4 linked regions of the Lonchura striata genome follow. The protein of the gene in region 2 interacts with the protein of the main gene of each other region in a biochemical or structural test. Links are inferred from orthologs where the notes say so. Each region holds a gene or a part of one and is shown on either strand. Other genes may lie near its edges.

The links.
Region 1: of the proteins of PTPN6 (region 2) and ROS1, one has a biochemical effect on the other in vitro, tested with the Homo sapiens proteins (2 studies listed by BioGRID and IntAct). The link is inferred for Lonchura striata from reciprocal best matches to the Homo sapiens genes PTPN6 and ROS1.
Region 3: the proteins of PTPN6 (region 2) and LCP2 form a complex in vitro, tested with the Homo sapiens proteins (2 studies listed by BioGRID). The link is inferred for Lonchura striata from reciprocal best matches to the Homo sapiens genes PTPN6 and LCP2.
Region 4: the proteins of PTPN6 (region 2) and PDGFRB form a complex in vitro, tested with the Homo sapiens proteins (2 studies listed by BioGRID and IntAct, with this or other methods). The link is inferred for Lonchura striata from reciprocal best matches to the Homo sapiens genes PTPN6 and PDGFRB.

What each region holds. Positions count from the first base shown.
Region 1 is NC_134605.1:65,835,851-65,843,507, reverse strand, and holds the start of ROS1 (proto-oncogene tyrosine-protein kinase ROS), read right to left. Parts: upstream 3,002-7,657; coding exon 2,879-3,001; intron 1,232-2,878; coding exon 1,178-1,231; intron 1-1,177. UniProt on the Homo sapiens protein: Receptor tyrosine kinase (RTK) that plays a role in epithelial cell differentiation and regionalization of the proximal epididymal epithelium. NELL2 is an endogenous ligand for ROS1.
Region 2 is NC_134604.1:29,793,069-29,800,308, forward strand, and holds the start of PTPN6 (tyrosine-protein phosphatase non-receptor type 6), read left to right. Parts: upstream 1-4,227; 5' UTR 4,228-4,533; intron 4,534-4,707; 5' UTR 4,708-4,795; coding exon 4,796-4,809; intron 4,810-7,240. Other genes in the region: ATN1 (atrophin-1), read left to right, coding at 221-401, 952-985; C2H12orf57 (protein C10), read left to right, coding at 2,749-2,806, 2,913-3,089, 3,170-3,318. UniProt on the Homo sapiens protein: Tyrosine phosphatase enzyme that plays important roles in controlling immune signaling pathways and fundamental physiological processes such as hematopoiesis.
Region 3 is NC_134617.1:14,843,370-14,851,139, forward strand, and holds the start of LCP2 (lymphocyte cytosolic protein 2), read right to left. Parts: upstream 3,018-7,770; 5' UTR 2,819-3,017; coding exon 2,741-2,818; intron 245-2,740; coding exon 182-244; intron 1-181. UniProt on the Homo sapiens protein: Adapter protein primarily involved in signaling pathways within T-cells, as well as other immune cells such as platelets, mast cells, and natural killer (NK) cells.
Region 4 is NC_134617.1:6,433,462-6,440,954, reverse strand, and holds the start of PDGFRB (platelet-derived growth factor receptor beta), read right to left. Parts: upstream 3,017-7,493; 5' UTR 2,652-3,016; intron 1-2,651. UniProt on the Homo sapiens protein: Tyrosine-protein kinase that acts as a cell-surface receptor for homodimeric PDGFB and PDGFD and for heterodimers formed by PDGFA and PDGFB, and plays an essential role in the regulation of embryonic development, cell proliferation, survival, differentiation, chemotaxis and migration.

The sequences.
Region 1 (7,657 bases), on a different chromosome or scaffold from region 2:
ATGGTCCCAGCATCATAAATGGCCCAGCCTCACTAGATACCAGGTGGTGAGTGGCTGCTTGCCACTAGTCTGTGGCAAATTCTCCACCACTCTTCAAAGAATATCTGTAATCACTGATACTGAAATTGGCAGGAAAAGGCTTTCTAACACAATCAGAGCCATTAGAAAGCAGGCATTCTTCATCTGTACAGGACACACAGAAGGACACTTTATTTCTGTGTGTGTTGTGAGACTTTACAACAAGATATTTATCTACTATAATCATACCTGTAAATTGTGTTTCTTGTCTAACACATAAACATCACTTTCCTAGAACTAATTTCCATGTATCTGCCTCCTACAGGAAGTCCTGTTGGGGTTTATCAAGAGGGGTCTCTGGTGGCCAAATTCACTGAATGCTTCAATATTAAAGGTGACTTTTCCTTGAACCTTTTCTTTGGGCATAAGCTGCTGATTCTTCTTACATAATTTGCAAAAACCCCTCTGTAGTCCTCTTTATCTGTTTCTCCTATGGTTCTAACCATGCTTATCATCCTGCATGCATACCTTTACATCCTTTTATCTTTTTTTTTTGCCAGTTAGTCTTTAAACTCTATTCAGCAGCCTATTCAGGGAAGCTGAACATTTTTATTCTCTATGTTATTTATCATCACCAGCTTGAATTGCAATCTGAAATAGGAAATCAGCTAAAGTCCTCCAAGAATGCTCCTATGAAAAGCTCAGGTTAAGCCCTCATGACAGACACAACCATTTGAAGTCCTAGAGAACTCTAAATATTCAACAATTATAAGTTTTCTTACACTGAATCACTGAGAAAACTAAACTACTTAACTGAACAGAGGAAACTGAATAACACAGTCTTAATGATTTGCATGTTGGAGGCAACACTATTTTTGACTCATTGTCTCAAAAATGAGAGGTTATGCACTTTGTAGATCACAAATGTGAACATAACTCACAGCAGAGATCATCACCCTTTACACATTTTCTTTAAATAAAGAATATAGCCATGTCTCTAATAATTTGGACGAAATCTACCCACTCAAATTAGTAACATGCTAGACAGGCAACTGTGCACATTTTAATGAATTCTTTGAAAATATGATCACTGTACCCATTGTATTCAAATAGCAGGAACATAAAATGTCAGTAATTAATAAAGTAAAACATTACTCACCGCTCCAGTGATGTCACTAACATTGCAAAGGTTAGTAATTCCAAGTTCTCCTTCCTGTAGGAAAAAATATCATTTTTTAAAAGACTCAAAATATTTCCCCAGAATTCTTTGATTAAAACACACTAAGTCATTGCATTCTTGTAAACCAAATTTTCTTTGGTTGATGTTTCCTCATCTGGAGAACTTTTTTTTTAATAACTATCTTCTCACTTGATTTCCGAGATACCATCAAACAAAGACATTAGTGAAATCAGTTAGTGTTAGTCAAACTATCTGAGGTAGGAATTTGGCTCTTACCTTCCCATTCTGGTTCACTGAGTCAATAACAAATGCTTCACAAATGTGTTGGGATTAAATGACAAAGCCAAGTGGCTTTGACCTCTTGGGTGCGGAAAGACCTTCCTTCAAGCTAAATGCCTTTTGTCTGGCCACCTTTTGAAGGAGTTTTATGCAGCCATATGGTGATCACCACCACCCTTCTTCTCCTGCCAAAAGTTCTCTCCAACAAAAGTGCTTGCTTTTTCACATCATTCAAAGTGTGCAAAACCCATCACTGTCACTGAAGTGCAAATGATTTGAGGCAACCTTAGAGAAGCTGAATAGCAGCTCATAAATTTTTGACCTGAAACCAGGTAAGAGCAGTCTTAATAAAACAATTCTCAGGAAGAAATTTTCAGCAGAATGAGTACACCATGACAATAGTGAGAATCAAAGCTCTCACAATAAAATAAAATAAAATAAAATTCAAACACAACAAGTAGACCAAAGGAGAAAAATAAAATTTACAACTCTCAGAGATTATATTTTTCACATAAATGTGATTTCCCTGTCTTTCAAAGCTGAAAGGAAGAGCAGCTTATTTCTTATTCTGAGATAATTTAAACTCAAATCAAAGGATCCCCATTAAAGTTATCATTGCATGATAGGTTTCCATCAGGGAAGGCAATTAACTCTTTGACTGGTGCAAGAGCTCCAAATAGTTTTAAAGAAACTGTCAGGGACGTGTATGAAATAAAATAGAGTAGTTGATAGTTCTCTGCAGCAGGTTTCCACAATAAGCACCAAGGCACAAAATGTCTTTTTTACAAAGCAAAGATACACAGAGTGCTCTAAAACACATCAACATGTTTCTGGCAAATAGAAGCATGGAGGCAACTCCTGAAGGCAGAATAATTGTCTAGATTTCAGAGGTTTTGCTTATCTTTGTCTTGCATTCATAGAATGTATTTCACACTATTCCAAGGAATATTAAGAAAGTATAAAACTAAGGATCTGATGGCTAATTTTAATACTTACAGAATTACCCACAATTTAAACCAGGTAACTTAAAAATTAAACTTCAACTAGGTTCAGGATAGCTGTGTGTGTCACAGAAAAGATTTCTTGTGACTTTACAGTTTTCCTCGATTATATAACAAAAGACCTGGACTAGACTGAAATGAATGAGTAAAGTGAATAAACTGAAAGAATACAAGTTTATCTTCCCCACCCTCCAGGGTTGTTAGCATTTATAGTAATTACATGCAGAGTAGTGGGATTTGTTCCTTACCTGATTCCACAAATTCAAATGTTAAATATTAATTCTCAAGCTCTGCTCTTAATACATTCTTTAGGGAGAACACTGACATGTAATATGAAGTTCTTACAGTGCTAACAACAATCTGTATTTCAAAAGATTAGGTACAGGTTTTGAAAACTTACCAGGTTACTTGTACATAAGTTTTGACAGTTCCTTGAGAAAGCACAGTACACTGCAGAAATCCATAGGCAGAAAAAAGCAACAAGCCTTTTTAGACAGAAAACCCACAGGCAATTGTTCTTCATAACTTTAACAATTTCACCTGATAATCTGCCTCTTCTCTTAACTTGGCCATACAAACTCCTTTTAGTTTAGGTGACAGAAATACAACTGTGAAATTTCTGCATGTTACATCATTAAAATATTTTCTGAATCCTTGTTTACACTCCGCTCCTTCAATAACTTCTCAGCTTCCTGGAGCACTTGTCTTGAACTTATGCAACCTCTATTTTATAGTTTCTTATTAAGCCACTGAAACAAAAGAGTTGACAAATGAAAGTCAGTGTATCAACTTACACAAATATCATAAACGTAAAACGGAAACTAAGTGCAATGCCTTTAATCAGGTGCTCCAAGCCACACGGAAACAAGGAAACAGTGGGGAAAAAAAGGCCTAATGTTAATTTTGACTAGATTAAGCTATTTCTAAATATTTGTACATGGATGCAACTAAGAAAATTTGTTGGTGACGATGAATAACTTTGTTAGAATACCATTGATCATATCAGACATGGCAAAAATTTAAATTAATTATTTATTTGAATGACTGTTTCCAGATGTTCAATTTCCACATTAAAATAACACACAGAACAGACCCATGTCTGCCCTCAGATGCAACCTAGACACAAACTAACAAGACCCAATTTGCTAGGGGTTCACTAGATGAGGAGGCACTATTGTACAAGTGTGCATCCATATCATGGAAGAAAAATTAATCTGATAGATAAATTGTGTGTCTGATTTAAAGAGTGGTCAGAGTCTTACATAAAGTTGAAGACTCACATTAAAGAGGTCCATGGAAAGTCAAGCCTTAAATTTGAGTTTGATACATCCAGATTCTGGTCTGTGGTACATCTGTGCTGTACCAGCACAGATAGCCACAGAGTAATTCCCCAGTAGAAGATTAATCCAGTTTACACAGTTTACATACACACACACATATATATATATACATACATATATATATGTGTGTGTGTGTGTATGTATATATATATATATATATATATATATATATATATATATATATACACAAATGTTATGTCATTTTGTGCATGTGTGTTACTCATTACAAATCAAAGGTGCTACTTTATAAATAACACAGAATTCTGATGATCAGTTGAGGCTGGTGCATCCTGTTATTGCTGCTTAGAAAGGGTACCTGCTTTTCCACCATACCTTTCAAAGTCCCATTCACTTGCCAAAGAAACATTTCTGCAGTCATCCAATAGAACAGGCTGAGAAACTGGTTAACACTAACCCAGCAACAGCAGAGGTGAATTGGTTGGCATTAATCTGCTGGCTCAGGCTCTTGTAGAGTTCCTTGTCCTGTTCTGTCCATGCATTGAAAGGAGTAAATGCACTAAAGAAGGAGGAAAGGGGGAGGAGGAAAGCCAAGCTGGAGACAGACAGTGAATATTGGGAAGAACGTGGCTCAGTGTGGTGCAAGGAAGGAAAGGCTTTTAGGACTAGGTTCCTCCCTTATCTTCCTGTTGCCCTGGGAAGAACTGGCAGGGTCTCCTTGTGCATTATCTCAGTCTCACCACTATTCTAGGGAGCTTCCAGATGAGAGTAAGGCTCATCTTAAGTGAGATTTGCCTTCAACTAAGGGCTTCCAGCTACACAGGTGTGGGGGAATGTCATGATTTGACACGGGAAAAGAATTTTCTCAGAAGGAAGAGATCAATCCAGTCAGGGGTCAGGTTTGGATAATGACACTCGGGGTGACCAATTGAGGGTGGACACGCCTCTGAGAACACAGAGGGGTTAAAAGCAGAATTCCCAGGAGGACTCACTCTCTTTGGTTCCAGTCATTGGAGAGTGCAGACCTCCCCTGCCCAGCAGTGAGCTGGGTGGGGAGGGGAAGCCATATGGCCTGCAGAGATAGGCCAGGGGATGAAGGGTCTGGAACCAAGCTGGGCCAGCTCCTGAGGATGGAAGGGTGGAGAACGTCTGACATGTCTTTGTTCCCCCCCCACCCCACCCCACCCCAAACTAGAGGAAAGAGATAAAGAGCCTGCAGACACCTGGGAGTTTGCTGGCAGAGGAGAAGGAGGAGGCGGGGGAAGATTCCCAGCATGGGAGACAGCACAGCATCTTGGGCCGAGAGATTTCAGCCATCCGGGGTCCGGGAATTTTAACCCTTTCCTGTGAAATGAAGGCTTTGTGGAATATTGCTCCTCCTCAGTTTGAAGGAAAGGGAGACAGCCTGGGACCGCAGATGTTAGGGAAAAAAGGTTGGGGGGAGATGATGGAGTGGCTGTTGGCTGGACTCTTCTTGTTAGCCATAGAGTGAACCATTTTCTCCTCCAAGAGAGACTGCATTTTAGGGGGATGCAATGGTGAGCCAAGAAACTCCTCCAGCAACTACCAGTTCAGGAATGAACAGAGAAAAGCTGAGGAGGGTGTGAGGGGAAAATGGGGGGACTGTAGTCCCAAAATGAGACACTGGACACTGTTGGTCCTTGGCAAAGCATCCTTAAAGGAGCCCTATAAGCAGTCTCTGTCCATGCACGGTGGTGAGAGCAGTGTGGCCTGGAGAGGAGAGTGTCACACTGGCAGGTGTGTTTGGGCGGTGCCATGTGTGAAGTGGAAACACAAGAGGTGGCAGCTGTGTTTCCTGGGGGTCTGTGGTGCAAGGGAGACTCCTCTGTCCCCTGATGGACTCAGTATTATGTGGAAGGGTGAAGACTTGATTAAGGGTCTAAATGTGTCTCGCTGTGATTTATTGGAGTTGGGTAGGGGAAGGAGGAATGTTTTGAAAGGTTTTCATTTTGAATTTTGTGTGGTTTTTTTCCCCTTTATAGTAGTAGTAGTAGTAGTAGTAGTGTAATAAAGTTTTCCCCTTGTTATTAAGTTTCACAGCATTCAATTGATAGGTTACATTTTCATTGTGCCAGTGTCAAATAATGACAGGGAATTGCCACCCAATTTGCTTGTCACTTCACTCCAGGAGGATGCTGCCCCCATTCCGGCCCATGAGAAAAGCTGCTCAAAAAGGAGCTCCTTAGATCCAGCCAAAATAAGCCCGTTTAGTCTGACTGCTTAAATAAAGGTCTCTGCTAATCCAGCTCATCTTGGCTGAAGAAGTTTCATCAGAGCTCACGTGACCAGCAACACTAAAGAGGAAGCTGATGACAGGCAGATGAAAGCTGCAATTTCTTCCTGAAGCAAAGAACTTTGGCTTTGGTTAGTTAGGAGATTTAGGACTTTCAGGATTTGGTCTCCGGGACTTTTAGGTCTATACTAGTAAATTCAGTGTACCCACATCAATACCCTGGCAAGTGGCATGGGATAACCCACATCCACAGTTTAAAAATCTCTTATAATCCAAGAGAAGATAGACATAGCTGAAATACCTATGTGCAATGGCTCTTAGATTTACTATATCCCAAACTTTTTCCAGATACTATTTGTGCTAGTGCCGATGTGGATTAAAATCAGACAGAGTTCAACAATTGTTCTATGTGGCCACTCAGGATTAAGAATGCTGGTTGGTATGGATTTAAATTACTAACTTAGATGCAGTGAAGGTAAAGAAATATGCCTAAATTCAAACTTTAAAAAAATATTTTAATGGCATTTAAGTAGTCTTTTTTTATTATTATTTGTTTTGGGTTTTTTAAAGAACTGTTTGGTTGTTAGGATGTCTAGAATGTTTTTTCAGGATGTATAGGGAGAAGCACTGGGAGAAGAGAAAGACAGAATCATAGAATCAATATAGTTGGAAAAGACTTCCAAGATCACTGAGTCCAATCTTTGCACACCACCATGCCAACTAAACCATAACACTAAATGCCATGTCCACAGGTTTCTTGAATGCTTCCAGGGACAGTGACTACACCAGGTTAAGAACCAGGTTAACTCCTCATAAGGAATATAATCAAGGTGCATCTCAGTCTGAAGAAAAAGTCCACAGCACTGTAACAATAACAAAACAATATTTGGCTTTTCAGACAAGGAAATTTTGTTACTATCAAATGCACATGATGAACCCTTTGTAACTGGAAAGCTTGGCTGTTACTGATGAGGATAAGTCTTGTCAGTGAGTCTTTGCACACTCGTATAGGGGTAGTGCACACATGCCTCGCACAAATGGGCTCTAACCATTGCAGTTAGTTAATAAAATAGTAATATTAAAGACACTATTCAAACGAACTACTCAAATGGTGCAGAATTTTTTCTTAAACTTCCAACACTATTTTCCACGAGGTGTCACTGTAACATTCCATAAACTGCGACTTTCAAAGAAAAAAAAAAAAAAAAAAAAGCACTGAAATACCTCCTTTCTTGTTTACCTTCCATTGAACACATTGGGAGAACAAATAGTAACAGTCACCTGCGTCTTTAGGTTTTTAACCTGAATTTCAGGAATTCTACAAGAACAGAGCACTTATGGGCTTTGGAAGCCAAACTTTAAAAGGACTGTTTGCAATATCTGTAAACAACAAAGCATTAAGTGTAATTTTTAAGTACATCACTTCCATTACACTGCACCCTGACATGGAACTAGGGATCCAAATTTTGTGAGATATAATTTATAAACCTAGTCCTTTACATTATAGATCTACTTACAGAATATAATTTCCTTTATCTCAAAGAGCAGCACAAGGAAGATGTGCTTGCAGACCAGCAAATCTGCAAGGGAGAAGACTGAGAAAATTTCTATTAAGAGAAAAATAGAG
Region 2 (7,240 bases):
GGGACTGCTGTTCTCCAAAGGGCATCAGCAGAGTTCCGAGGGGCAGGGGCATCCTGAGGCGGCACAGGACCAGACTGAGGTCTGTTAAACAGAGCCTAGGACAGACCCACCCTGTCAGGATGAGCAGGTCCTGCACGTGGGCAGGGATGGGAGTGGGGGTGCAGCAGGGTCCTGGATGGAGCTTTAACTCGGCTCTTCTCTGTGTCACCTCTGGCTGCAGCCGCACCCTACAGGGACCTGCCGGGCTCCCTCTCTGCGCCCATGTCGGCGGCGCACCAGCTGCAGGCCATGCACGCGCAGTCGGCTGAGCTGCAGCGCCTGGCTCTGGAGCAGCAGCAGTGGCTCCACGCCCACCACCCCCTGCACGGCGTGCCGCTCCCCACGCAGGAGGACTACTACAGGTGCGTGGAGCTGCTCTCTCCTCACAAGAACACCTCCAGGCCCAGCCCTGCCATGGGGCAGGCACAGGCAGTGGGAACAGGGAAGCACTGCCCATGGAGCGGGTGACTGTGCCCAAGCCCACACCGGGAATGGGGATGCTTTGCCATGGGGCACCGCTGTGGCTGGTCACCAGGAAGATCATACTTGGCAAGTGGCTATTCAGTGGCTAGTTCCTTGTGAGATCTCAGCTCCTCCGGCTGAGGCGGGAGATAACTTTATTGTGTTTCACACGTGTTAATGCAGTTATGAGTAACTGATACCCCTGCCAAAATACAAAACATTTATAAGGGTTTGATGGTTTTGCCAAGATAAGGAATTCATGTGTGCATGGGAAGGCACACTGGGAAAGAGAGAGGTGGAATGTTGTACCTTTTCAATAGCATCTCTACTTAAAGATCTACAAAACCTCCCAGGCCAGCAGTGTTGTATGGGTCCAGATGAACAAAGACAGGGGAATGGTGTAATATTGCCTTTTTCCCTTTCACTATCACCTTGTTCTTTTTATCCTAGCCACCTGAAGAAGGAAAGTGACAAACCCCTTTAAACGGACTTCTACTGTCAGTGTGACATCATCATGTCTTTCTCTCAAGAGAAGCAATCAATCAACCAAATCCTGGGGGAAGGGAAGCTGCAAAGTGACACATCCTGATCCCACCATGCAGTAGAGTACTAGAGAAGATGACAGAAAGTATGGGATGGCATCCTGGGAAGAGTGGAGAAGAGAAATTAGGGAGGGACTGAAACACCACTAATGGACCTGAAGCGATTGGTACGTGATTTCAGCTGAGCTCTGAAGAGAATCAGCATTGCACAGAGCTCAGAAAGACAAAGCCTGACATGAATTCAGGGTGGCAGGAGCTCCATCCTTTGTTTTGGGGGAACAGTTGCATTAAATAAAAAGTGCAGAGCATTGCAGGACTTCATGTACAGGATGCTCCTGCCTTTTCTGCTTCTGCAAGGAGGAGGTGCGGCCAAGAAATAACCGCAAACACAAAAGAGCCTTTTTTCGAGATGCTTCCTCAACACCCCACCCCCCTTTAGGTGTAAGATACTGCTTAGCGATACAGAAAAACAACGTGGAACTTTTTCAGATTTAGCCAGAGCAGCTTCCCATTCTCCCAACACCCCTTCAGATGCAAACAAAGCGTTCCAGGTCCCTTCCTGAGCAGCCTCTCCTGCCTGCGGAGGGTCCGGTCCCAGCCATCGGGGTGCAAAGCACTGCAGGACTGTTTGCAGGACGGTGGCTGTGCTTTCCCCAGCTGCCGGGAACGGGCACGGCCATGAGGTGCGAAGCACCAGCAGACTGTTTTGGAGACTGCCATCAGCACCGTGACCCCTCTGAGCCCCGTGGGGAGAGCTGGCGTGGCCCAGCGGTTACACTGCGTCCTGGGACTGTCTGTAAAGATGGTGGCTGCCCCTTTCCCCTCACCCATCCTAATTGATGTACTTTAACTCATGCACATCCTATTAGACGTGGCAGTTTTATGTAGCAACTTGTGACTCCCTTGCCCCCGCGTGCGTGTTCTGATTTCACAGTTGTATCTCTCGATTGGTCCCCCATATATTATATATATTTACTTAACCATTAAAGGAGAAAACAACCAACAACCCAGCTATGGAAAAGAAAGAAAAACAACCACCCAAACGATGTTCCCCACGCACTCCCAAGCCCTGACACACATTCTAATAATTTATATATATATATAAATATATATATGAAGCTCTTAAAAAAGGAAAAAAAAAAGACAAAAAAACCCTTTCAGAAACGGGACTCTGGTGTGTTCATTTCTTTCCAGTGGGGCTAGAACGGGAACGGCAGAAGCACTCCCGGTGAAAACTGGGAGAGGCTGGAAGCGGGCACCGCCTCGGGAAAGGCGCGGCGGCGCCGCGGGGAGGGGCGGGGCGTGCGCACCGCGGGCCAATGAGAAGCGATAAATTTGCATACGGGCCGGGCGGCACGGCCGGGTCCGTTCGGCGGCGGCGGAGCCGTCGGTATCGGCGTGGAGCGGGGCGGGGGGACGGCACCCGGACGGGGGCCCACGGAGGGGCTCGCAGGAGGGAAAAGCGGACCTCGCCCTCACCTCGGGGTGGGTCGGCCGGGAGGGGCTCCTCGGTCGTGGCGGAAGGCGGGCAGTGATTTCAGCTCTTTTAGAATTTGTCCAGCAGGTTTCCCGCGCTGGCGGGAAGCCGCTCCCACCGCGGTGCAATGGCAGAACGGGGCGGGGAGGCGCAGCCGCGCTCGGGCCGCGCCGCGCCGGGGCCGCTGCTCGGTCTGGCGCCGGAGCCGCGGCCGCCCCGCCGCGCCCCATGGCGGCCTCCGCGCAGCCCCCGGTGCCGCCGGCGCTGAGCGCGGAGCAGGCGAAGGGTGAGTGCGGGAGGCTCCGTCTCCCGGGCGGGCCGGCGGCGGGGCGCCCGTGCCGCCCGGCTGGACGCGGGGGGCCGGCGGGCGGCTGAGCGCTCGCGTCTCGCAGCGGTGCTGGCCGAGGTGATCAAGGCGTTCGGGGCGCCCGAGAACGCGCAGCGCATGGAGGAGGCTCGGGACAACGCCTGCAACGACATGGGCAAGATGCTGCAGTTCCTCCTGCCCGTGGCCACCCAGATCCAGCAGGACGTGATCAAGGCCTACGGGTTCAGCAGCGACGGCGAAGGTGGGTTGTTCCCCCGCCGGGCGGGATGCTCCGGGCCCGCCGGGGCAGCGGGGCCTCCCGCCCACCCCCTTTCCTTGCAGGCGTCCTGAAGTTCGCCCGGCTGATCAAGTCCTACGAGTCGCAGGACCCGGAGATCGCCAGCATGTCCGGCAAGCTCAAGGCCATGTTCCTGCCGCCCATGACGCTGCCGCCGCACGGGGCCGGCACTGGCGGAGTTGCCGCCTCCTGAGCCCGCGGAGTTCTCCCGGTGCTCCGGCTGGTGCCCTCCTTCCAAGGTGCGGGTCCTGTCAGCGCTGGGAACGGAGCACTTGAACAAGGGAGACGCGATCCTGGAAGGAATGGGATGTTTCGTGCCCCGCTCGTGTGTCTGCTCGTGAATAAAACGTGTGTTGAAAGTGCCCGTGTTCTATGAATGGCCGTGAGCTCAGCAGTGCTGCTCCCTGCTGCAGAGGCAGGTACAGCAGTGCTCTCTGCATGACACTTGCAACGCTGTTTTGGAAGGCCCAGTATGTGCCATCTTTTGCAAAAAGGTTTGTGCAGAGCCTCAGTGTGAAGCCCGAGGATCCTATATCAGAGTGACAGGTATTAAGCACTTTACAAGGGCAAGCATTTTCAGACTTTCTGTTTGAAGCATACTGGGAAATGCGTCCCTCAACACAATCTAGTGCTGTTCAGCAAGTGTTGTAAATGCCATTGAGGCTCCTGTCCCAGCAGGGTCAGTGCTAATTTACTCCTGCCCCCAGTGCCTGTGGCTGCCTTGTTTTGTGGCTGAATGTGCAATCCAGCACATTATCCTTAGTGCAAAAGGCAGCAGAGAGCTGCAGCAGGGAGTGTCCGAGCGTAGGAGGACTGGACTTGCCCCATTTTGCTGCAGCCTGGATTAGAACAACATAAACAACATACAATTTTTATCTCACGTTTTTTCTTGGACTGCAGAGGGATCAACCTAGTGGTGCAGCCTTGCTCCTTTGCAATATTTTCTTTCCAGTGTGGTTCAGAGGGACACCAAGGATGTCCGCTTGTAGCCTCCTGCCCTTTGTCCCTGTTGCCATTGGAAGAATTGAGTTATTTGGCGACAGAAGGGGGGAGAAAAGGGCTGAGCGTGAAGGAGCCAGGCCTGGGAGAGCAGGGAGCCAGGTGTGAGCGAGCTGCGTTCTGTGCTCCCGGTTACAAACCGGGCAGGAATGCAGCCAGCGAGGGCGTGAGCTCAGTGGATGGGAGGCAGGAAGAGCAGTCGGTCCCTTCCGTCTCCATCTACCTCTCCGAGCTTGGCCTTGGCCTTCCCCCACCCCTCTGATTATTCATTAACTACAGTCCAGGAAGTGCTTTGCAAATGGTGAGAATTAAGCCCGCGGCTTGAGGCCTGAGGTTTGCCTGACCTGGAGCTATCAGTCCGCCTGGGAGCGGGCGGAGTTCGGGGTTCGCCGGTGCGCGCCGGGCTCAGGTGAGTCACGGGAGGTGCTGCAGCCGCAAGCAGCGCCGGCTGCTGCTCAGCGCCCCGGCACTCACCGCCATGAGCATCCAGGCCACCTCTCCCCTAGCAAGGTCTTTGATCTCTCCCCCAAGTCCCTTTCAAGATCTTTTCTTGGTAATTCCAATATTGCTTTATTTTCTTTAGTGGGACCCACTTGGTTGAGGGCTGTGGTACTTCCTCCACCAGCTCCTGTCAGTCCTCCATCAGTGGGGATCTGAGAGACAAGACCCTGATGCCATCCCGTGGGTGAGTGCTGTGAATGCTAGTTAGGGCAAGAAAACAAGAGTTGCTGGTGAGAAAAATAAAAATAGCAGCAGTAGGAATCAGACACAAAAGGGAAAACCCCACAGTTTTTAATAGGAGCTGTCTATTAGAGGTAGCCAGAGGGCTGACTCCTCTGGTAGAGGTAGCCAGAGGATTGGAGCTTGCTGTGCTTTACATTTTTCCTGTTGCTCCTTCTCCCTTTGATAATGAGCAAACAGGGTTTGTGATGCCCAGTCTGCTGCAGTTCCTCTGCCACCCTGCAGCATCTCTGAATGGTTTTGCAGAGAGAGATGTCAACTGCCTGGCCTTTAAAATACTAGTCACTCTTTTATTTGCTGCAGTCTATCTAGCCCTTTATGGAACAAAAAGCAGGACATACAATCCTCACAGTCGGTCCAAACAGGTACCTTGCTCTGGAGGCTGCTGTGGAAGGGTGTCAGGAAATGGGATTTGCACTGGCATGGCTCTCTGGTAAGAATTTGGGTAACCACAGTGGTCTAGCACTGTGCTGGAGCCCCAAGGCCTGATGGAGAGCATGTGGCTTTGGCAAGTCACAAGAAGATGGTCCATCTGCCCGTCCCCAGGCAGCCTGTGCTCTGCACTAATGCCTGAATTACAGCAGACTTCCGTACAGAACAGCAAAACCTCCTGTCTGAAATCATCTCCATAACACATGCAATGCTCATTCTCAAAAAGGGCTCCAAATTAGCTCCCCCAAAATGTGAGGGAAGCATGGAACAATAAAGTTATTATCTGAGCAAAGGATGCACAGTATAATGGGGAAAGCAATGAATATGATAATAAAGAAAACACCAGCATCTGCTTTTGTAAAGGCAGATATGGTCCTGTAAAACTGGAGGGTTTTGAGGGACTTAGCAAGCTTGTGGTCTGGCCAGTACAGTTTGCTTGGATTTAAAGAATTTGACAAGATTTTCTCATCAAAGTCTTCAAATAAGGCTGAAATCACAACATTAAAAAAAGAAGGTGAAGGTTTTCCTGGGTAAAGATTTATTAGAGAATAGTAAATGGAAGGTGGGAATTAATATCCCATTTTTATAGCAAACGGAAGTCATCACTGGTCAGATCACAGGGGTCTTATCTGAAATACATGCTGTTCAGTATATTCCCAAGTTGCCTGGGAATACAGCTTGGTGAGGTGAGAAAATTGGATGATGATAGAAAGTTATTGAGGATAACAGGGTGGGAGTTGACTTGTGAATAATTTCAGAAAGACCTAATGATTGAGTGGGCAGTAGAACAGGAGATGAAAAGGCTTATGTAAAACAATGTTCATACAGAAAAATAATAGAAAAATTGCATATGCAACAATGACTGTGAACTAATGATAACCTCTCCTTGATTATAGAACTCCATGCAATTGTTAGCTTAGTGCTTGGTTATAGTGAACATCAGAAATCATCACTGTCCATGATTCACCAGCATTTTGGACACCACAGCTCTGTGCCCACTTTCACTCTTACCTCCAAATCAAAATGCCAGAATTGGAAATATCTCTGAGAGGGACAGCAAAGGTGGTCAGAGGTATAGAATAGTTCTCTACAAAAAGAAACCCCTTAGTAGGCCTGGAGTCTTCATCCTGGCAAAGAGTTGAGGATGGATACAGATGTTTCGGGTCTGTTACCATGAGCAGCTTGGAGCAGGGGGTGAGAAACAGGAATCGCCCAGATTTTTCTTTCTTTACAGCAACCAGGTGTTAAAAAAGAGGCAGGGAGCAGGTTATAAGCAAGTCAAAGGAGGGGGTGTTTCTGTAACTGAGCAATAGAGCTCTTTGCCAAAGGGCACAAAATTTGTTGTGCATTTGACAGTTGACTACAAGTAGCTGCTAACAGAGGCTTAGGAAGTAGGAGGGCAAAAGAAACTCTGTGCACAGTCTTTCTCTCTGCTCTTCCTTTGACAACCATTTTGACCTCTGGATTGCCTAGTCCCAGCCCTGCAGCTCCAAAACTAGCTCAGGTGGCTCAGGGCCTGAATGCTGACAGTGGCCAGGGTGGAGGTTCCTCAGCTGCTCTGGGGACCTGTGGCAAGTGCTGAACCCCCCTGGGGCGGAGCACATGTGCAGTTTCTCCTGATACCTAAGCAGAATTTCCCTTGCTGCAAGTGATGCCTGTTGCCTCTTGTCTTTATGTTGTGTCCCACAAAACAGAACCTGACTCAGCATCTCTAAACCCCCACGTTCCCTTTTAGGTAGTCTCAGAGAAGTGTTAAAGCCCTCCTTAAACATTTTTTCTTCAAGCTGAATAAACCCAGCTTGCTCTCTGCTATGCTCCAGGCTCTTCACTGCATTAGTGGCATTATGCTGGATCCTTTCCAGTTTCTCAGGGCCTTTTTTTTCTTGTAGAATCCAGATGTGTGTCTTTTAATTAGCTATTTCATTTATCTTCTGCTTTAAATT
Region 3 (7,770 bases), on a different chromosome or scaffold from region 2:
GGGCCTCCAGCATTGCATATTTAAAGCAAGTTGTCTGGCTAATTTTAGCAAAAGCATTTACCTCCCATATTTATACCTCAGTAACCACCTGGAAGGTGGCTCTCCATCTGCAAAATAAGGAGGAGTCTCAAACATCACTTAGTTGGAATTTTACAGGAAGGAATTTTACAGCTCCACTTACCAAAAACCTTTGTCCATTTATGCTGTGCTTCCTCACGACTTTCTCACAGTCCTTATACTTTAGCTGTCAATGAGAAGAAGATGATTGTTGCACCCTTAACTCTAAGAATTAATTAAGACAACATATGTTTGGCTTTGAGTAGATACCTTTTTGTATGCTATGGCCCACCTAAATGGCTCATTTTGTCCCATAAACAAAGATTTTTATGACAGACATCCTTCAGTGACTTAAAGGCTTTCATCCATTTAGGAACATGTTATTCCTCACACTTAGAAACCACCTCACAGCTGCCTGGCCCAAAGAAATATTTGAAAAATGGATTATTGTGGTACTGACTGGGATGAGCAGCTGCAGAAGTAAAGCAAAAACCTGATTATCCAGGAATACTAAAGCTGACTGATCCCAGTCACAGAATTCATTGTTGTGATCAAAAAGCTTTCACTTCTGGATAGAAATCTCACTTGTTAATCCTGGAAATTATCTATAATATTTGTAAAGCTTTTCCACAGTATTATGACTTCCAGTAGCATTTAGGACAAGGATATGCTCTTTAGAAGCTGCTCATGTACAGGTTGAGCACAAAGCAAGGCATGACTTTTAAACATTAAACAGTTGTCCTAAATTTGGTTTTGATTGGGGTTTTTTTGGTCTTTTTTGGTTGGTTTTGTTTGTTTGCTTGTTTTGGGTTTTTGTTTGGGTTTTTTGTTGTTGTTGTTGGGTTTTGTTTGATTGATTGATTTTTGTTTTGGGATTTATTTTTTTTTTTAATTTGAACTGTAATAGTACAGTGTAAGAACACAATTTATAGCTTAGATCTGTTTCAAGTTGGTCAGGTCCCTATCAGAAGGAGCCCAAAGAGCAGACAAAGAAACTTTTGGAGGCTCTGAGACAAAAGAATGACTTTTATTCTGTCTGAAACTTCAGTGGTGAAAGTTCTGCAAACGACCCTGTGCTGCTGGGACAGCTCCCCTACAGCAGAGGTTTCCCAGGGAGCTTCATGTGCTTTGTAGCCCTATCCCAGTTTTCATTTTAAGGTGTAACTTTGTAACTTCGGGTACGGATCCTGGAAACAACCGAACAGCAGAGAGGATATTTTTAGGAGCTACCTTCAGTTATTCATATGAAAAAACTCTGGTAAATATTTTAGGATACAGATTAAAACTTCAGTGCAGACTGAAGACTTAAACCTGTATATAATTTCTTTCCTACAGTGAACGCTATTGTGATGTTACCAGCACAAGTCTGTATGCAGAGGGAAGCAACACATCCCTGTGATTGAGACCTAATCTCAATCTTGAAGTAATTGATTTAAAAATGCTCTTTAGGTATTAAAAACAAACCTTGGAATATCCCAAATATGAACATCTTTGCTTTTTCTAAACCAAAAAAAAAAATCAGAAATTATTTGAAAATTTGGTTCATTCATCCTTTATCTCAGAGATAATATCTCTGAGTTTATATAGATCTCTGAGTATAGAATATTCTCAGAGTTTATCTCAGGGATAAGCTCTGTTCACTTGTGACAGTAGCCCAGAGCCACCTGACTTGGGCTGACATTCTTGTCTCACCCAGATTTTTTAGATTACTTAAACAGCTTTTGTCCTGATTTAGCTCCCAAGAGTGGAATGCCAGTATCTCCATTCTGGATCTTGATCCATAGAAGGGAGGCACTGCAGATAAATGTGCATTCAGTGATGGTAGAACTTACAGTTGATCCTTTTGTCACTGTTCAGGATATTACTATCAGATCTTTCAGAAAGCCGTTTTTTGCCTTCCTAATTTCTTGGAAATGGTGGTCCAACTTTGCTCTGCACTGCTGTTGTAATGTTTTTCGTACTTGTCTGAAGTTGCCTGTTGATAATGATCTCATCTATTCCATCTCCAGTTTTTGGTTTCACTTTCCTGTGCCACTAACTCCTGCACCCTAAAATTAGGGGCTTGTAAGTAGTTGGCAGTTTCACTTCTCTGGAGATTTGGTAGACACAGTTTCTATGTTTGATCTGCTTATCTTTATTAAGTAGTTCTGCATTCCACTATCAAACTTTCCTCACCTCCCTAGATAAGACTCTCACAGTTATAGGAGCCATTGAAAAAACAAAAATAAACTTCACATTATTTCAAAATTAAGCCCGAGGTGTGCCAAGTTTTATAAGTCTAGCCAGGGATGCGATTAACAAAGACATTCAGAGGCTCATTTGTTACACCCAGCAATTTGGAAAAAAATATCACTTCTGAAAATGATTGAAGATTAAACAGAAAACTTGTAATCTTCACACCTTAGTGCCTTCCGCAGCTGTTAACGTGTGTTACACCAACAAGCATTGTACTAACCTGTTCCCTTGCTCTAAGTAAGCCATGAGTTTCTCTTAAACCCAATTTAAAAATCCCTTTCAAGATTCATTTTCGCTGACCAGTTGAGCTCAGCTTCTCATTTGACAGCGGTTTTGCTTTTAGTTCTGCAGCAAGCTTTGCCCATTACAAAAGATCTGAATTTAGCCCTACCAACGTTCCAGCAGTTTGCTCCTCCATCAGATGAAGACAAACCAGGGCCAAACTCACCGTCCTGAAATATTCTGCTAAGTCCTCTGGGTCCCAGGTGAGCACGTCGGAGCGGTAGGGGACGTTCCGCAGGTCCATGGTTGGTGTCCCCCGAGGCTCAGGGAGCGTTCACAGCCCTGCTGCCAGCGACACTGCCATGGGCTCCCTCTCTGTGGCCACCTCCAAGGAATTTCTTGCCCAACCTCCAGCTCCTTCTGTCAAGGAACTGCTCTGGTCAATTGAAATGATGCTGTGAGTTCGTTCCAGAGAGACACTGCTTCCTCTGGTACAAAATGGTCTCTACTCCGAGAAGTTTCAGCTAGTCAGCCTTACCACTTCCTTTCTCTGAATATAAATAAGTAAACAAGGAAGCACAGCAGAGGGTTGAAAATGCTCTGCCTGCTACACAGAAATAAATGCCTATGGACCCTAATTGCTTTTAATTGCATTACTCACATTATACATGCATAAAAATATTGTAATATTATTTGCATAGGTGTGGGTTACTCTTCTGGTAAGGCCCCACTAAGAAGAAAACATTGACTTAAGAGAAACTGCTTTAATTTACCTCAGTACCTGAAATATCCTTATTTGTACAATTAAAGGTTATTGTCAGAGCTGCACATAATGGGGAAATAATGAATTAATGATGGAATTGCAGTCAATATCCCTTCAAATAAAGAATCACTCAGTGAAACTAAAAAATGTACAAGTTTAGATGAAAAATTATTATGTTGCCATTGTATCAATAGTTCATTTTTTGGCTACTTCTTATGAGGATTTGGTATCTGAAAATGAACCCACAAAACCATATTATTACCACAGGGATGTGATAAATTTTCATCTGTCCTGCACAACCAATTCAGGCACCCTCCTATCAGTAGGTGCCTTTGCTGAGATTACATAGAGTAATTCCAAGTGTGTCCTTTTCAAAAAGAGCCAGCATGTCCATTCTCCCTTCTCGTGGAACTTGTGCTGTGCTGCTGTGAATCCTTGGCCTCACTCCTCCATTAGACTGCACAAAATTTCTGAGTTTCCTGGACTGGTAAGAATAGGTGCATAGTTCTGAAGCGCTGGGGAGGAAATTTCCTCTTCATTTTATGGAGAAATGAAATGCATCCCTCTTGTCTCCAGTCACTGACAGCCTCCTAGCCTCATGTCTGCAGGTGTGTTGCACACGAGTGCATGTATTTGAGATCAAACCTACCAGTCTTCACTGTAAGAGTTTTCCTTTTGAAGTTCAGAGTCTGATTTAGAGTAGCTTACTTTTTTTCCTGTAGAAATTCTGGTAAATGATGGCAGCATGGTATTTAAAACGCTCTGGAATTAAACTGCTGTCAGAGCTGTTCTAAGAAGAGTAGCATTTATCAAATACATGCTACAGCTGTGTTTTCTGGGTTCTTACTTGAAATTACCTATGTGAATCATCTGAGGCAGGTCCTGACAATATCACAGAAATATTATCACCTCTAGGTCTGGGGATGAAATAGGACTGAAGGAGCTGGTGCCAAAGAATCCCCAAAGGAAAAGTTGCTTTGCTGGTGCATTGTCAGCAGTGGTAAAGGGGAGGTTACATAACTACACCTCAGACATCCCATCACAGCCCCTGGATCTCTCAGGGAAACAAGCAGGAAGGCAGGGAGAAGCCTGTGTTAAATTCCTAATTGCTTATTCTCAGATGTGTCTCATTACCCTCTAATCTGGTTTCTATCCCAAACCCAGTGTAGCAGATCTAATTGCAATTGTGTTACTCCTTATTTGTACTAATATGAAATTAATTAGTCTGGTCAAAATTTATGCTGGTGGTGTTATAAGGAGAATTACAGCATCATTTATTCTGATGCTGAGAAAGGAGGAAAGCAGTTACCTCTGAAGGCAATCTCCCAGCATCAAGAGCAGCTAACACAGAAATTCTAACACATGTATCTATTATTATTTGTTTGCATCCTGTCTGTGGCACTGTGTGCATCATAGCTAAGTGCAGATTTCATGCATTTCTTGCAAAACCCAGCTGCACACGAATGTGAGCTCTGTCTTTCTCTACAGCTTCTTTTGTAACATCATAAGCACATCAGATGTGGTGTCTCAGTAAGGCTTGCTGAGGAAACACCACTTTGTATTTTCTATATATGAATTTTCAGATATACTCCTACAGCAGCTGGCAATCTCATGAGATGGATTTTAAGCTCTTGGATTTTCAAAAGCTAAGGAACACTGCTATTATCGGGAGCATATTTTTTTATTAAGATTTTTTTCCCCTCTTTTTAAAAACACTAAGTGTTTCATAGGTATTTTATAGCCTGCAGTGACACAACCTTCACACCAAAAAAAGCGTCCCCTCAATAACAGCTGCCAATGGTAAGACTTTTCTGATGCAGTGCTGGTCTGGTGACTGATGATTGAAAATGTGAGACTCAAACCATTTTAAGCAACACAGGGGGGAAATTCACACTGCCGACATTCTGCTGCCTTCAAAGGGCAGCAACATTTTCCATTTTCTCTCACCTCTCTCTGGTGGTCTTCTGTCTCTGTTTTAAGTGGAGTCAAGGGCTTTGAACCACTTTCAGAAGGGTTTACTTTTCTAGAGTAACTCAGGTTACTCCATATCCCTAGAGCCAAAAAAAAAAGTTCAAACCTTGTGAGAATTTAATCTTCACGTTCATCACATCCCAAAGAAAGTGGATCTTTATGAAGTGGTTTTCTTTTGTCCTGCCCACATTTGTTTTAAAAAGACTGGGGTAGATCCTTCCTTTTACCCTGGAATGTTTACCCTAGACATCCTAGAGCTGCCCTTTACCATGGCATGCCCAGTGCCCAGGCTGTGTCACCTACCTGTAACTGTGAGAGGCTGAAGTGTCAGCGTTAATTTGGTGCTTTGCTGGGGCCAGATTGAAGGGAAGGAGAGGTTTTGGATGTGTGGTGGACAAACCTCTGATCCTAAGAACAACCCTGGTGCAGAGGGGGTTCAGATATTTTCTGAAATTTTAGATATTTTCATCACCCACCTTGGGAGGATGAGCACAACAATCTGACCTTTGCTTAGCAGTGAGCTGGGGTCAGAGCCAGATAAGGGAGATAAGGGAAGCAGACCCTGTGAGGTGGGATAATGCTTTTTACCACATCAATGTCCTCCCTTACACACCTGGCTCAGGTGTAAGTTAAACTCCTCCTGGAGAAAGTATCAGGATATTCACATTCACACCTAGGCCAATTTGAAAAAGCAATTTGTAGAAATGGAACTTCCAGGCTTCCTCCCCAGCCAGCCCCACTCTGGTGACTGCCAGTGCCAGAGATGGACCCTGAATATGAGACTTTAATGGGAGCAGCACCTGAGGTAAATGTTAACCAACCTCCCTGCCTCTGGAATGTATGGCTTGAATAAAACTGTCTGAGACACTGGCTTCAAATCCAATTTCATACAAAGCAAATGAAAAAAAAGTGTTCTCTATAGGAACTCAATCCTCAGCAAAGACTTTCCTGGATGGAAACAAAACATGCACACTTGAAGCATCTTTTCCCGTGTCAGTGAATTGTGTTACTCTGAGCAGGTGTCAAGATGGAGTTTAGGCAATTCCGAAAGGCCTGAAATCCTAAAATACAGCCACTGTAGAGTGCAGCTGGATTCTATCCAGAAACCAAAGAGAATCAAATATCTACTAAAGTCCTGTAAAAAATAAGGCAAATACTTAGAGATATTCTAGCAAGAGCAGTTTGCTCAGGAATATGTTTTGTTCCACTCTGTTTGGGTCATAAGTGGCATTATGTGTCTGGTTTGTCCAGAAATGCTGCAAACAAATGCAGAGAACACTTAGGGGACCTCAACAGAGCTGTCTGTCAAGGAAAGACTGAAAAAAATGCTTGCTAAGTCTGAGAAAGGGAAGCTGGAGATGAGGGAAGGAAAAAAGAAAATAAACTTTGTGACAACTAGCAGTCAGTTGTTCCCATGAGCTGTGAAGGGCTCTGCTAACAAGAAAAGCTGCTGCAATCTTGAGAAGGAGGAACTGGGGACTGAAGAACTGCTCCAGTGTTTGTGCTGCTCAGTGCAGCTCAGCAGCTCAGTTCAGGAGCTGCCAAGCAGGGTCAGCTGTCCTGTGACACAGAAGGGGCCAAAAGGACACCTGGAACTGTTCTGCTTTGGACATGACCCTCCTGAACTAACAGTGCCTTCCAGGGACAGAACTGCCAGTGAACACCACTTTTGTACCTGAGGTCACCAGTTTGATGGAGACATTGGAGCTTAAGTTAAAGCATGTTAAACACACACCCTTTAGTCTGGCTAACTGCTCAAACCCTTTCCCCCTGTGCTCACAATTTCTTCCCCAGCTCCAGCCCAGGGGCAGCTGCCAACACCTCGGCTCTGCAAGGCTCCAGTTACCCCCAGGATTTTTTTTCCACCAGCCCAGCTCCCTTTTGCCATCCCAGCTCCTGCTCTGGTTCCCACCCCAGCCCTGTTCCTGTCCCCACTGCAGGATTGGGCTGTGCTGGGGAACTCCCACCTCCACTGGAAACCTGAGTCTGTGGGAGCTGCTGAAGCCTGAGGAATTCTCATTCAGTGCTTCCATGGCAGCCTTTCCATTTGCTTGGCCTTCTTTTGGGTTTTGGTAGGGGATTTGGGGGTTTTGGGGTTTTTTTCTTGGTACAGGTTTATTTTAAAAAACTCAAAAATGTTCTCTTTTGTCAGAACAAAAGTTTTTTGTTTCATTTAAGGTTTTTAAACAGCAGTATTTCAAATATATCCAACTATTCTGACAGCTAAAGATATGATAATTAACTCAATCCATTTTGCTACTTTAATCAAATGAACTATTGACACCCATAAAGCAGCATATTGGCTCTGACATTGTTTCTAAGCAATCTCCGTTTATTCAGTCAGGCAGTTGTTTTCTAACCTAAACAAAGCTACTTTGTAGCTTCAATTCTATAGAAACTTGCAGAGTTTATATTGTAAACTGGTTGCCAATGTGGGATTTTGGTCATTGTTGCAGTTCCAATGTTCCTGTCCATTCACAAACTTGGAACTGGATTCTGATCCTAACAGATTTCCAATTCTC
Region 4 (7,493 bases), on a different chromosome or scaffold from region 2:
ACACCGAGGCCAAAGGAACCTTGAGGACCAGCAGAGAAGTCTCTGCCTGGAGCCTCTGGCAGCAGCTGGACACTTGGCCAATGCCATATCCAGCCAATGGTCTCTTTTTGCATGGCATTACTCCCACAGCTAGAGAGCATTTCTTAATCTCAGCCTTCCTCTGGTGTTCACTGAGACAATCCTGTCTTGCTCTGCTCCTGCAGACAGGCTCGGTGCTCTCCTCTCCCTGAGAGAGTTGTTCTGAATGCCTTGGAAATCCTGTCACAGACCCATTGAAAATGAGGCTGAAAGAGATCATGGTGTCACTGTCCTGTGCCCATGTCTTCCAGCCAGAGCTTTCCCTGACGTGTGCTTTGAGACTTGTGATGCTGAAGGAACTCAGCCTTCTGTTTTAAACCTAGAGATATTCCTCCTAAAATCTCTTTTCTCTCTGTGATGCCTTTTCCTGTGCATGAAGCTGTGTGTCACCTTCCCACAACACCCAGTGACCAACGAGCCACATCAACCCCTCTCCCAGTCCTTTGCAGCTTCTTCTGGACATCTCATCATCCTCACTGCTGTCCCTGAGCCCATCCACTCCACACCTATCCCTGCTGAAGCACCTGGTGTCACTTGCTGGGGAGGACCTGCTCCATCCACCCTGCCTCTCTGAGCTGCCTCCAGCCATGCATCTTCCAGTGCATCCCTCAGGAAGAGCTTGGGTTTCCTGGCACCGTGCTGCAATCTGGTCTGTGTCCACTACAGCCACTCTGCTCGCTTCTGGACTCTGCTGGAGCTCTTGGCATCTCCTCACACACAGCTGCCCGCCCAGCTCAGTGCCACCCCAGGGTGCAGGATGTGTGCTCAGCCACCTCCCAGGTGGTTCATGCAGGGATTGCACAGGACCAAGCCCAGGCCAGAGCCCTGCAGCACACCACAAGATGTGCCCAGGACTGTGGACAATAAGCCATGGCTAACTTCTCCCAGACTGCAGTAGTGCAGCTGGCTGTGCTTGCTGCACACTGACCACGGGCACCCCGCACTCCCAGTCCTGGGCAGGGATGCAGGAGGTGATGCAGGGACAGGGACATGAGTGGCTGTTGTCTCCTGGACTGCTCCTTCTATGAGGACCCTCCATAGTCCTGAGCTGGAGGAAGGGACAGCCAGCTTTAGGAAAAGCCCTGTGCATGCTGTGACTTGGTGCTTGTCCAAAACTCCGATCCCCCCGATGCACTGACTGATTTAGAGGTGTTTCCTGGGCTCAGGGACACTGCCCAGGGTTGGTGGCTGCCACAGCAGCCAGAGCACACCCAAGCTTGGGTGACATCCCTGTCAAGAAGTGACTCCAAGCCTCATGTCAGACCCTGGCCAGGGCTGCCAAGCAGGGCAGCTGCCTGGCAGCTCCTCCTCCAAGCCAGCCTGGCCTGTGTCCTCTGCCAGGCAGAGACACGTCCTTGACACTGGCTCACTGACCACACGAAACTCACTCCTTCCCCAAGAGCATGGGAGGCACAAGCATCTTGTCCTGCAGGGTGCTGAGGGGGAATGACCCTCCCAGCCACCCCTCAATGGCCTCTGGGAAGCACTGGGTCTCAACATTGCTAATCCTTTTCATCAATGAGAGATCTTCTGAAAAGATTTGGGAATGCCAAGCCTCTGCCAGCACAGGGTGTGCACACCAGACCAACTACTTTAAGCTACTTTCCCCATGCTTTAGCATAAATCCCACTTGCTCTGGGACCAGGACGGAAAAGCACAACATCCCTTTCCACCACAAATCCTGTTTTGAATGACTCCCAGTTGGCAGGTGAATGCAGGAGCTGGATGCTCTAAGGCCACTGTGAGCACCAAAGCTCCGCAGGTCATGCTCACCCCTGTTCCTGGGCTGTCAGAGCCTCACTCCAGACCAGCTCTGCCCTGCTGGAGGCCCTCAGCTCTTGTGCTCTCAGGACAGCAGAGTAGCCACCCACATCTATGCCTAGTAGAGTTTTACCAAGCTCTGCCCTCTCCAGTATGCAGCACTCCCAGGTACAGACCCTGGGCAGGGCTTGCACATGTCCCTCTCCATGCCACAGGCACAGGAGCCCTGCCATGGCCACAGACAGAGGTGACACGGTCCCTGGAGCAGCCTGATGGCCATGGGTGTGTTTGGACAGGCTGGCAATGACAGGGGTGACACTGCTCTGCACTCACACTCCAAAGGATATCTCACTGGCATGGCGAACAGCCTCTGACCCCTGCACACCCCAGCCCTCCCACAGCCACCATCCTGCAGAGCCAGGGCTAGCCCCAATCCAGGGAGAAGCAGAGATCACCTGGGCCCTACTCCCACTGCAGTGGGGTCCCCCCTTCCTGTCCTACAGCCGCAGCATCCCCTCGCTCCTCTCAGCCATCCCCACCCAGGGGCTGGTGAGAGCTGATGCCGTGTTCCTTCCCGTGGGATGCCGGAGAATTCAGCTGCTTTCCACCAAACACCATCTCCCCAGGGCTTGGTGGGCGTTTCGGGCTGCCAACCCTTGGAGGGGAGCAGAGCCCCTTGCAGAGCAGCCGGGCCGGATCAGGGACAGGGTCCTTCGGGGCTGTACCAGGTCCAACACGACATTTCCCATCTGGAGAGCCAGAGCTGAGCAGGAGGGCGAGCCAGCCCCCGGGTGGGCGACACAAGAGCTTACCTTGAGCAGGGTCCCGCCAGCCGAGTGCCTGCGCCGCACGTCCCACCGGGAAGGCTCCGAAATTCCTCCCTCTCCTCCTCCAAACTCTCTATCTGCTGCCTGCTGAGGCTCTCCCTGCCCTCCCAGCCTTCCCCAGCTGGCAAGGCTTTTCCACTTAAAGGCGAAAGAGAGGGAAAGAAAGAAGTGGAAGGGAGGAGCGGGGGGAAAATAAAATAAAATCAAAAGGAGAGGCAAGGCTGTGCCAAGGCTGGGCTGCAGCCAAGCCCCTGCTCTGCTCCTCTAGTGCATCCGAGCAGTGCCCTGTGCCGCCCCAGCCCAGCTGGGAGGGGGCTCTGCCTCCTCGGACCCCAGCGTGGAGCAAAGCCCGGGGCCGAGGGATGTGCACGCGTGTGTGCGTGCGTGTATAAATAAAAGAGACCTCGGGAGGAGGAGAAGGGGGGAGGCTGCTTCGCCAATGAGGAGCGGAGCTCCTCCGACTTCCTCCCTCCACCCTCTGTGGGGACCCTTTGCGGAGCAGAATTTGCGATTAACGCCCGGCGGACGAGTGTGATGGGTGAAGGAAAAAAAAAAAATAAATAAAAGGAGAAGAAGCCAAAGTGGCTGCAAGGAGAGGAGAGTTCTGCTGCGGGCTGAGATGGGGCGAGCGATGAGGGCCCGGCTAACAGGGAACAAAAGGAGCCCGGAGCAGCCCGACTATCGCCTCCTTAAACCGGAGGGAAGGAGCTGCCCTCTCCCTGTGTCTGCTTTCAATTCTGGCCTTTCCCTCTGTTTTCTTTTTCTTTTATTTTCTTTCTCTTTTTTCCCCCCTCTAGCCCCCCCCCCCCCTCCCGTTTTTTCTTTTTTTTTTTTTTTTTTTTCCCCTTTCTCAGGATATGAGGGGATGTTTAGAAAATCCACTGCCCACGCCAGCAGCTGACTCATGTTTTTATTAAAGAAGGCCTGCACTGAGCTGACTCCGTGTGCTCCCCCGATGCCTCCCTGTGCTGAGCTGTGCCGGCCCCGCCGCTCCTGGCCCCTGACCCCGACTGGCCACTGCCCCTTGGGGACCACCAACGCACCCTTGCAACTCTTCTTCTTTTTGGAAAGGGGGATAAAAGGCTTTCTGCAGCTGGGATGCTGCAGCGAGGGTGGGTTTAGCTGGGGATTTGGCGCTGTTTGGGCTGCTGAGGGCACAGAGCTGGAGAGGTGGCAGGAGTGGTCACCTCAGCCATGCCATCATCTCAGATGTCCTACACCCCTGCTGCCCTGGGGGATGGAATCCACGTGATGAACCAGTTTTAAATCCTCCCAGCTTCTTAAGGAGTTCAAATCAAGTTTCTGAGAAACTTTCAGTAGGCAGAACATTATCATGTGTGCAGAGTGGATTTTTTTCAATTTTTTTTAGCACTGTAACAAGGGACAGGTTATCTTTGGATGAAAACTGCCTTTGATCCATCAGTTCTTGCCAAGATTTTCATCCTGGGGATGCTTAAGGGTGGTCAGGCATTGGAACAGGCTGCGAAGGGAAGTGGTGCAATCACCATCCCCAAAAGTGTTCAGAAATGTCTAGATGTGGCACTTGGGGACATGGCCTAGTGGTGAAGATGATCTTACAATGATCTTACAGATCTTTTTTAGCCTTAACCATTCTGTGTTTCTCTCTGATCCAAATAAGAAATAGTTCAAAACTGCACTGCTATCCTGAAAAGATACCTGCCCATCTTCCTTTAATTTTCCTTTCTAAGAATTAAAAAGCCCTCTCCATGACAACACTGCTGAAATCTGTGTTTCTGCCTTTTTTGCAAGGCAGACTCATCCCCTCCTGCCAAGCTAGTCAATGCCTGCACAATGGCCAGAGGGAATGATCCCCTGGCTGGACCAGCCCAAGAGATTTGCTGCTTACCTCACATTATCTCCATGTTTTCTTTTTATCTATCAAAAACCAAAGGGGAGGTGTTTATTCTGTGCAGCTGTGGAGTGTGAGGAGAGCCAGGCTGCAGCAGCCAGGCTATCCCTGTGTGCCACTCATGGCATGGGGCTGCTGTGCCTGGCAGCAGGACAGCTGCAGGAGGGATGCAGCCCTGGCTTGGAAGGATTCCCCCAGCTCCAGACCTGGTGGTGGCTGTGCCAGGGGCCCTGTCAGCCCCCGGGCTGAGACAAGCTGCTGTGCAGAAATGGAGGCAGCGAGCTGAGAGCAGCTCGTGTGGGGGGCAGGCAGCAGAGGGATGTGCTCTGCACATGGCTCTTCCCAGGGCTTTTCCCGAGGGACAAAGATGTGTCTGCTGGGTCCATATGTGGGGACCTAAGGGCTGCTGGGAATTGCTCAGCAGAGCTGTTTCCTGGCAGTGTCCCCGCTCCAAGGACGTGACTGTTCCAGGCAGAGTGGGAGAGGGAGAAACCCACTGCTGCAATCCTGCTGGGCCCCTTGCACTGGGGATGGGCTACCTGGGATGAGCAGGGGGTGGAAAAGATGACACAGACCATGCTTGAGGGTAGAGCATCCTGAGCCTGAAGTGGGACGTATTTCCCTCAGTCCTTTGCAAACAGATGGTCCCAATACCCACTCCAGGCTGGGTCCAGGAAGAATCTGGCAAACAAAACCTCCCAGTCTTGCAAAGGCCAGGATTCATTGTTTGGGGATGCTGAGAGAGCCCTGGGGAGCCCAAAGCATCCCGGCAAGCACACGTCAGCCCACTCTGTACATCCCCAGGGAGCATCCGCAGCCGCACATTTTGTTTAGGAACAGCACGTTGGGGTTACAGCAGCTCCTGGGAAAGGCCAGCGCAGAGGAAGCACCAAAGCCAGAGGAACTCGCCTGTGCAAGTGTGGGGGTGGAGGGCAGCAGCTCTGCTACTTCAGCATCATCAGCCCTTCATTGCTCACCTCTATTTTTGGTGTTTCGTGGTGCTGCAGGACCCAGTGGTCCCCCTGGGGCTGGGACAGCTGCAGTGTGGGATGCCAGACCCCTCTCAGCTGAGATCTCCAGCCTCAATAAGCGTTGTTAAGTGCTAATGGGGGCTTGGGGTCATGTAGTGCAGCATCTCTGGTAGGGAAATCAACCACTGAAACAGGACATTCCAGGGTATTTGGTCTGCTCTTGCATCACGTGGATAAAAGCAGCTCTCTGAACTCCTGCCCCATCCCAGGCAGAGCTGGGACCACAGAGAAAAGCCCATATCCCAAGCCTGATATAGAGGAGAGAGACCAGAGCCAGGTGACCCAAGACAATGGTGGAAACAACCATGCTGAGTCAGCAACAGGTACCATGTGCCAGCAGGTGACAGGCAGGTACAAAAGAAGCAGCAGGTGCTGGCCTACTCCACTCCTTTGAAGGTTTGATGAGGGCCAGATTTTCTCCAGCTTCAGTTTTTCAGAGCCTCTATCAGTTCCAAGTCAGCCCAGGAATTTCAGCGTTGCTCTGAAGTGGTGTGAAGCTGCAGAGCACAAGAGAGGAGTGGCGGGTGCCAGGGAGCACAGCACCACATCTGGGCAGCCCATCTGCTGTGGCAGCTGCCAGCACATGCTGCTGGCTGGATGCAGCCCCTGGGCCCTGCAGGGAGCTGCCCCGAGGCTTCATCCAGCATCTCTAAAGCTCTGCCCTGAGGAGCCTGTACCGTGTGTGTGTGTGTGTGTGTCTGTGTGTGTGTGTGTGTGTGTGGTCCTGCTTGCACTGGGTGGGTGACACCAGTGCCCAGGGAAGAAGGGGAGGCAGAAAGGGCTGGGCTTCTTCCAAAGTGAGTGCATGCCCAAGCATAACATGATGGGAAGCATCCTGTGGAGTATCCTGCAGCATTGCCCAGCACTGGGAACACTCCTGCAGCACTGGAAACCCTGGCCATGGACACCACAGGGTGCCAGCAGTGTCAGGAGGTAACACTGGGCTGTACCCATGTATTGTGCTGTGTCCTTAGGGGTGCTGGCCCGTTGCCTACATCCTCTGGGCTGGGGCACTGGGAGGAGGCAGCAGCCAAGGACGATGTTATCCTGCTGCCTTTCCCCACCTCGGGGCCTTTCCGACCCCGTCCCACGCACTCCTCCTCACCCCCGCCACGAACCTTGGTATTAAATGTGCTCGGCAGAGCCCCGGGAGGCAGCGACAGGCTCCTGGGTGAATACTAATAACGGTGCTGTCCTCTGGCCCCAGACTTTCCCACACATCTGCAGCCACTTTAATGTGGGAATTGTTAACCCTCTGCTTGCCCCGTGCCCGAAACACAGCCAAGGAGTGAAACCAGGACGCTCGCCAGCAGTGCAGGGGGAGTCACACACCCAACCCACTGAGAGCAGGGCCCACACATGCTGGGAAGCAGTGAGGGCTGGCAGCATGTGTCCCTGTCCCCAGTGCCCTCTTGAGAATTGTCAGTTTGTGGCATTTGCATTTGCCAAGAAAGCTGATCCAGATCCCAAGGAGCATCACTGAGCCCTGGATGGGGAGAGGGGAGCTGTGTGGCAGCACATCCATTTGGGCTGTCCTGGTCCATCTCTGGGGATCAGCTCTGCAGACTCTCCTCAGCTTGAGGACACAAGTGACAGCACAGGGGTGGTTCAGGCATCTGGGGAGAGCCAAAGGCCACACACGAGTCTGCAGTGGAGCTGAGGGAGATGAGGCAGGGGGCTGTCCTCTGCAAGAGGGTTGCACTGATGTCTCCATTGCCAGAGAGGAGGGGTAACTCTTGGGGCATTCAGGATTTAGGGAATGACTGAAAGCTCCTGGCTGGACTGGGATATGAGTGGGGCCATGCAGCTCTGGGATATGCTGGTCTGAAGCCACAGATTTGCCTTTGGGAGCAATAGGAGCTGGAGGGAGTGGGGAGGTGGTGGGGCAGAAGGCTGTGGGGGAAAAGGGGAGCAAGGGGAGACATC